Nothobranchius furzeri: one gene and its partner. The protein of the gene in region 2 purifies or fractionates together with the protein of the main gene of each other region. This does not show direct contact. Links are inferred from orthologs where the notes say so. Each region holds a gene or a part of one and is shown on either strand. Other genes may lie near its edges.

Evidence for each region.
Region 1: the proteins of eif4a2 (region 2) and eif4g3a purify together in Homo sapiens (affinity purification with mass spectrometry; 3 studies listed by BioGRID and IntAct, with this or other methods). This does not show direct contact. The link is inferred for Nothobranchius furzeri from reciprocal best matches to the Homo sapiens genes EIF4A2 and EIF4G3.

The regions. Positions count from the first base shown.
Region 1 is NC_091743.1:76,800,312-76,804,784, reverse strand, and holds the start of eif4g3a (eukaryotic translation initiation factor 4 gamma 3), read right to left. Parts: upstream 2,898-4,473; 5' UTR 2,685-2,897; coding exon 2,524-2,684; intron 1-2,523. Other genes in the region: ece1 (endothelin-converting enzyme 1), read right to left, coding at 4,172-4,348. UniProt on the Homo sapiens protein: Component of the protein complex eIF4F, which is involved in the recognition of the mRNA cap, ATP-dependent unwinding of 5'-terminal secondary structure and recruitment of mRNA to the ribosome. Functional homolog of EIF4G1.
Region 2 is NC_091751.1:69,534,706-69,538,521, reverse strand, and holds part of eif4a2 (eukaryotic initiation factor 4A-II), read right to left. Parts: intron 2,900-3,816; exon of another isoform or gene 2,787-2,899; intron 2,713-2,786; coding exon 2,580-2,712; intron 2,546-2,579; exon of another isoform or gene 2,473-2,545; intron 2,395-2,472; coding exon 2,255-2,394; intron 2,036-2,254; exon of another isoform or gene 1,961-2,035; intron 1,879-1,960; coding exon 1,710-1,878; intron 1,627-1,709; coding exon 1,517-1,626; intron 1,460-1,516; exon of another isoform or gene 1,280-1,459; intron 1,211-1,279; coding exon 1,067-1,210; intron 1,036-1,066; exon of another isoform or gene 856-1,035; intron 769-855; coding exon 631-768; intron 554-630; coding exon 464-553; intron 227-463; coding exon 147-226; intron 78-146; coding exon 1-77. UniProt on the Homo sapiens protein: ATP-dependent RNA helicase which is a subunit of the eIF4F complex involved in cap recognition and is required for mRNA binding to ribosome.

The DNA of each region.
Region 1 (4,473 bases), on a different chromosome or scaffold from region 2:
CCTGGACATGCACTGGCTTCAGCAGCGGGACAAGTCTGGCACTGCAGGATTTGATTCCCTGCCGCTGTAGTGTGTTACTGATGGTGACCTTTGTTACTGTGGTCCCAGCTCTCTGCAGGTCATTCACCAGGTCCCCCCGTGTGGTTCTGGGATTCTTGCTCACCGTTCTCATGATCATTTTGACCCCACGGGATGAGATCTTGCGTGGAGCCCCAGATCGAGGGAAATTATCAGTGGTCTTGTATGTCTTCCATTTTCTGATAATTGCTCCCACAGATGATTTTTTTCACACCAAGCTGCTTGCCTATTGTAGATTCACTCTTCCCAGTCTGGTGCAGGTCTACAATTCTTTTCCTGGTGTCCTTCGAAAGCTCTTTGGTATTGGTCATAGTGGAGTTTGGAGTCTGACTGTTTGAGGCTGTGGACAGGTGTCTTTTATACAGATAATGAGTTCAAACAGGTGCCATTAATACAGGTAACGAGTGGAGGACAGAAAAGCTTCTTAAAGAAGACGTTACAGGTCTGTGAGAGCCAGAGATTTTCCTTGTTTGAAGTGACCAAATACTTATTTTCCACCCTGATTTACAAATAAATTCTTTAAAAATCCTGACATGTGAATTCATGGATTTTTTTTCACATGCTGTCTCTCACAGTTGAAGTGTACCTATGATGAAAATTACTGACCTCTGTCATCATTTTAAGTGGGAGAACTTGCACAATCGGTGGCTGACTAAATACTTTTTTGCCCCACTGTATACTGTATATAATTCACAAACACTTCTTAGAACATAATTTAAACTGGATTAATGCCAACCCGTACATAATAGACATGCCACCATTACATTGTTAGCTGCAGAAATGAAATGTTATTACAATTTCCAATACAAATGCATGTTAATGAAATGCATTAGATTTTACTGGATATATTTATGTGTTATTATGCCTAAGATGAGGGTTATTAATATAAACCTAAAATGTTACTGAAATCTAGGTCAAATATTTAAACATATTTTAACTATATATATCAGATGGACAAAAGGGAACTAAACACCATTCTAATGCATATTATTGAGCCTTTTATAATAAGAGTGTTATTTCAGCCTGATAACTTAGTTGTTTTATTTCTGTGATTATAGACAGTTGTACTAGATTAACTTGAAAACCACACTAAAGAAAAGCTGCAAAACTAAAAACTTTCAAAAATATTTAAAGTTCCTTAAACAAGAATGACAATAAGCATATTTAAAGTGTACAGCTCTTTATAAGAGGTAACAAAAGTCGGTGAACGTTGGTGAAAGAATGTTGGATTAATGTCAATAGCCTTGAGTAAAAAAAAAAAGGTTTGACTTGTCCTATTCAGACATGAAAAATATATGAAACTGAAAAGGCGATAGCTTGCTGCTGGCATCTGCTACAACCTGCTGCCCCATTCAGAAATCGAAAACACAAGGTGGTGGTGATCCTGAGAGGCAGGACATCAGGTTGAGACATCCCAACCAAAAGCTAAGCCTCATTGGATGCCATCAGATCACAAAATACGCATCTCTGCTTCTAGCAAGCAGCAAACATCCACCCAATGCCACCCCCCCCCCCCCCACACACACACACACACACACCATGCTGTAAATAAAACAGGAGGTGACACCCGCGCGGTGACTTCACTCCACCAAAAGGTGATCTTAGGCCCCCCATCTTATTTAACTCAAAGGTAAACAGATAGTTTAAGTGACAACGCATCCTGGTGCGAGCAGAACCCGCATGTATGAGGTGAGACTTTCCGGCATCACAGAAGGTAGAATCAGTTTAAAAGCCCGGAGACACCTTCTGAAGAGATTATCAGCTGGTATTTTAACAACCAGCTCGTACCAAATGCCCATCTGTCATTCACTGAACTCAACGCCCCCCTCAACAGCCACTGGGGTTCTGAGACACCGGGCCTGGTACTAGCCTGAATTAGCTCAATTACATTATAAAACCATAGATCAGGACGCCGAAGTGGATGACGCCCTTCAGCTCGACGTTGCATCCACTGACCTGTACACTTTTTAACCACAAGGGGCTGTCTTTGGTATAGCAGCTGCAGTGCTTTAACTCGGCTAACGCATCTTGCTAGTCAACAATCGGCAGTGAACAAAGCCGGTCACCGGTGAGAAGAACGATAGCTTACCGGTGATGAAGCTTTCCTGTCTCAAATAAACTTTCTCTAAATCATAATTTTACTTTCCCGCTGGGATTAATCACGATATATACATATATTTCATAAAAAAGTAAGCTAATTCAGTGAAGTGGCGTCAACTAACAAAATAAACCTGACACATTTAGCTTGGACAACCGGCTTGATTAGCTAACGTTAGCATGCTTAGCTAATTGTGCCCTCTCCCCTCCCTCCAAATTAAACCATCATTTCTACATCCATGCTCTATTATCTAGCACGAATAACACTATGCAGCGAGTGACTATTAAGAAGTACAATGTAACTCCAGAGTCGCACTCAATTTGTGTGTTACCCATGTGAAAGGATACGGAGGTGGAACGGCACCAGGCTGAGGTGCAGTTGGGGCTCCAGGCGGCAGAGACACGGAGGTCAGGGTAGCCCGTAGTTGACTCGACGGAGAGGGGCCACTTCCAGGTCCGCTAACTGCGACAGCGGCGGGCTTAGGGACCACTTTCGATGGCAAACTCATCGCAAGAAAAAAAAATCAAAAAGTAAAACAATACCTTAATACTGATATAAACAAAGCTTAGCTTGCATACATAAAGCAAGCGTTGCTTGAAGCATGCCCCAAATCCCGTTACTGGAACTGGGATAACGAAGCTCGAAAAGCAATACAAACGTCTTTTTTCATGAAAAGTCGCTGTTCGGATCAGCGGTGCTATTCATGGGGACGGTGGGAGGTTTAGCCTCCCTTGTCCGTCCGGAACCTCTGCGGGTCCGTCTCGGTTCGTTCCTTTCAAATCAAATTAATGACGCGGTTCTCAACCTCCTTTTTGCGATCTATCTTTTCTTCTCGGCAATAATGTGTTCTATCATTTTTTTCTCACAGAAATGAGAGACTTCGCCAACATGGCGTTGCAGCCGCTTCTGTCCGGGCAGGACAGATGATTCGGCAATCCTCGGGTACTTACGGAATCACTCGGCTAATCAGCGAACCTTCAAATAAACAGTGCGCGCGTATCCAAAACGTGAATGGTACATGCTCCCCCATATCTCCCAGTTCTGTAAATAATATTTGAGTCCTGGATAGATCTTTGTTGCATTTAATCAATTGATGGAAATAAAACTACATGAAGTAATGCGCGCATCCTTTTCTGGTAATTTAACTGTCTTTATGGGCAAAGATAATCCTAGGACTGCCCAGCTCATTGCTTCAATAGGACTCTGATTAAAAACGTGTTATCACTGCCATCTGCCGGTACACAGGCGGTACTGTACCTGCAAACTAGCAACACTTGTTCCTTCAGGTTTATTTTAGCTGGTTAAAATCTGACATCACTGAAAAAAATGAAGGCAAAATAAGATTTAAGGTTGATCTTTAATATACAAATAATTTGCAACAGTTTAACATGTAAAAGGAACGTGACACAGCGGCTTAGAACCTGCATAACTTCTGAATTACACTCTCCTTTGAGATTTACACAAACGGATCAGAATTATTGCAGTGGCTCAAAGATAATGCTGAAGATTTGCCACAATTTTTGCTAATTAAACCTTGAAAGTCATTGGAAAGTCTTTATAAAAATATAACTATAAATACACTTAAAAAACCAGTTACTCCAAACATTAGAACAGTTCACAAACATATTCACACATAAGAACAAAGATTTCTGCTTATTAACCATAGAGTGAGCAAGCTGTTTTCAAAGACTGAGCTGCCCTCCTTCTGTGTCTGTATGAAGGGTTTCCAGTGTTTATAAAAACACTTTTATAACTACATTTAGGTTGAGTTGTTTTGTAAATTAGCAGTCCTTGTGGGGAAGCAGAAAGGAGTGCAATCCTCCACATGAAGCAGGCACATTGCATCCTGATAAGGAGACTCACAGGCTTTAAGTGGCAAGGCATTAAGGGTTTCAGTGGTTCTCACATTTTCGTCCAAATAGACGTTGTCAGAATATCACAGGCTTTTCACTCACGTTCACCTCTTCTCACTTAACAGCACTTCACAGAAAGGCCTCACCAAAGCTCACACTTGTGTTTAGGATTCATAGGAGAATCTGCTCCGCAGCCAAAGTGCTTTGAGAACTCTTGTGAATTGGAGATTGTGCCTATGACTCTAAATCTTGATGGACTGTGAGGATCTGTGATCACACCCTCATGGGAGCTCTCAGGTGTCCTGACAGCACACCATACCTGCAAGGGACCAAAAATAAAACATTAAATTGATTTCTCTTCAAACTGTTAAAGCAACAATCCAGATGCTTCCTCCTTTTGGGAATCATCTTTAATTTTTAGGAAGCCATAAAAGTGATTGTCTT
Region 2 (3,816 bases):
GAAGAATCCTTTTGTCCTCCTCAGTGACAAAGTTGATGGCAACTCCTTTCCTACCAAAACGCCCACCGCGTCCAATTCTGCAGAGAAGGACCTCGTTAGTACAACACCGGAGAGCACGGAGCGCAGGAGTCCACAGCTCTCCTCACCTATGAATGTAGTTTTCACGATTTGTAGGAAGGTCGTAGTTGATGACCAAAGAGACTTGCTGCACGTCAATCCCACGAGCCTAGGAGAAGAAAAACCTTACTGACTGTTGGCCCGGGTGGTTGACCGCTTTTAGAACTTTGCCGATGTTGCTCGTGTTTCAGTAACAGATTCCTACATCAAAGAATGCATTGTGGAGAACGAGCCTTCATCTCCCAAACGTTGGACCGTTTCAGTCATTTCAAGACTGTCGCAAGATGGACAACGATTTGGGTTGCAGTTTCAGGCAAGAACACGGAGATCTGGAATCTATACAAACCAGAAGATCTGTGGTGATCAACACTCTGCTGGAGCCGGACCTGAACTCCCTCATTATCACGTCACGCTCCTTCTGGTCCATGTCTCCGTGCTGGAGAGAAGAAAAACAACTACTCATCAGAGAACAGAAGAGAGTAGGACCTAATCAGCAGACCGACGGTGTCGTACCAGAGCAGAGACGGTGAAGTCCCTAGCGTGCATCTTCTCTGTCAACCAGTCGACTTTTCTCCTGGTGTTGAGGAAGATCACAGCCTGGGTGATGGTCAGAGTCTCGTACAGATCACACAGTGTGTCCAGTTTCCATTCCTGTAAACAGTCATTAACATTAATTAGTTGTCGTCAACAGAACATCAACCTGACAGGTCTGAACATCAGGAGGAGTTCAGCAGCAGGGTGTGTAACACAGGATCTTGAGACAAAGGAACTGGAACATTAAGAAAGAGGTCCCTCCCAGTCTCCTTTGCAATTCTGTGATGTTAATCTTCTTCCCTGGTGTACCCATGCTTACACGGCCACATGAGCTGAAACAGGTTCAGCTCCTGCAGTTTGAGCAGGGTGCTTTAGAGAGAAGGTAATCAGTCCAGCAGCACCACAGCAAACCAACCTCTCTCTCCACATTTATGTAGAACTGCTTGATACCCTCGAGCGTGAGCTCCTCCTTCTTCACCAGGATGCGAACAGGGTCCCGCATGAATTTCTTTGTTACCTCCAAAACATCAGCTGGCATGGTGGCCGAGAGCAGGACCACCTGAGGAAGGAACGACACGTCAGAACACGACACCAGAACATCGACACAGAAACCTTTAGCTCTGCGGCCAGGTGTAGCACGTCACCTCGAGAATGCAGCCAGCGAACATTAAGAAAGAGGTTCGACCACATCTCATTTTCGGTTCAGTGCGTTTTAATCTCCGTCTGCATTGTACTCTGCTAGCATTATTGCATGGAACAGAACAACTGGACCACACAACTACAGCACAGTTCTTGAACTGCAGAAGGGTCGCCAAATCACCACGAGTCTCGCCTCAAGGCTCTTTGTTCTGCTACGGATACTCACTTGAATGTTTGTACTCAGTTTCTGAAAGATCTCGTAGATTTGATCCTTGAACCCTCGACTCAACATCTCATCAGCCTCGTCCAGAACAAACATCTTGATCCACTTAGGGGCTGCAGAAAAACATACACAACAGTCAGATGGGCTCACTTCCAGAACGTGTGCTAATCTCCCTCCCAGGAGCAGCGATACCCACATAGATGTCTCCTGTTCAGCATGTCATACACACGGCCCGGGGTGCCCACCACTATGTGAGGAGCCTCGGCCTGAAACTTCTGAATCTCACTGCGAAGATTAGTCCCTCCGATGCAAGCATGGCAGGTTGCCCCCATGTAATCACCCAAAGCCAAGATTACCTTCTGAATCTAAAGGGAGATGACAAAAAATGCCACCAGTTCAGAAATGGTGCAAATAAAAATGCAAACATAAGCAGAAAAAAACGGTTTGGAGTGATCAGTAAAGCAAAAGGAACTCTCCACATCAAGAGTCAGTCCCGAAAGATGGTATACCATCATATCACTCGGTTTCCGCATCAACAAACAGAATTCAATCCAACTTAATCATCTTGTAGACTGATGCAGTCACGGACAGAGACTACACCAATCAGAAGATGGCATCAATTATTTCATGAATTTTGACAAATCTGTAAAAGACGGTACCTTCACATCTGAACAGTGTCCTCAGTATGCTGCCTAGGCCTGAGACACTGTTGAGGTTATCATGACCTCAGGAACAGCATACCTGCTGAGCCAGCTCTCTGGTGGGAGCTAACACCAGAGCCTGGGTCTCCTTCTGTTCAATATCCAGCTGCTGCAAGATAGAGATGGCAAACGTGGCTGTCTTGCCTGTGCCTGACTGGGCTTGAGCAATGACATCATAGCCTAACGATGAGAGAATTTGTATTAAAACTCCATAAACATCTCAGATAAAACGATACAAATCTCAACACGGCCTCTTAAGAGTGATCAGTGAGAAAAAAAATATCACCATAATTTGGTAAGTCCCGAAAGATGGTTAAGCATCATTTCACTCTATCAAAAACCACCACGCAGTTCGACTTGTGTACCTTTGATGCAAGGAATGATCGCCCTCTGTTGAATGGCCGATGGCTTTTCAAAACCATACGCATATATTCCCCGGAGAAGGGACTCTTTCAGGTTCATATCATCAAAGTTGTCTGTAATCTCATTCCAGTTGCTCTGGAAAAGACAGAACAGGAGTTAGCTGGAATCTTCACTGGTCCTGTTTTTGGCGTTTTCACATCTGGCCTGACCCCGTCTTTGCAGCGTCGGCATGCCCCCACGCGGCCAAGTTTTGTTCACCTAGCCTTCTCCGGAACATGTCTCCGAGCACATGGGTGGAGGCGGAGAAGTCTGTGGTGTTTCCCTTAAGTTGATAAACAGGTGGTTAGGGATGTCCCGATACAACTTTTTTTCACTTCCGATACGATATCGATATGCAGCCTTCAGTCTTGACTGATACCGATATCAGCACAAATCATAACTACTTGTACCCATTTCATGGTGTGGAATGCATAAAAGGCTTGATAACAGTGATATTACTCAACGAGAAAACAAAAGCCAGCAACAGTAAGTGTAAAAACGGACCAATTTTTTCATTTAACTTTGATTGCATAACAGTGGAGGGATGGGATCTAAGGAAAAAAACAACATTGTTCACTGACCAACTGCTACAGGTTTCAAATTCACGCACTGCAAAAACCCTCATGCAATGTTTTGTGATCCTGCTTCAGACGCACGATGCAGCTGGACTTTTTCATGTTCCACCACAGGAAACTTGTGCATGGCAAGCGTTGCACCGAGTCTTTTTCAGACTTTAACAAAAAAATAAAGCCACATGGCCGACATTGTTCCTCGCTACTTTGATAGCACATTGTTCTGATCACGGGGACTTTGCATGCTGGATCTGGGCGCTGAGGGATAGAACTGCTGGAATGGAATTTAAAGAGGAACGTACTAATAATATTGGAGATTTTTGATGCAAACCGATATAATCTGATAGTGTTTGTGGGCCTACATCTGATATTAATATCAGAACGAGACTAGGGTTGTCACGGTAACCGGTGTAGCGGTAAACCCCGGTAAAAAAGTTGACAATAATAATAACAGTCTTGTTTTTTAAAAAACATATTATCGCTGTGGATTATCGTGGCTGCGGTGTAGGCGCGGTGACCCTTACCAGCCACCGTATCATCCGCTGAAGTTGCCGGATTTCAAAATAGATCAAAGCAGACCGATCAGGTTGGGTTGTCACGGTAACCAGTGTAGCGGTAAACCCCGGTA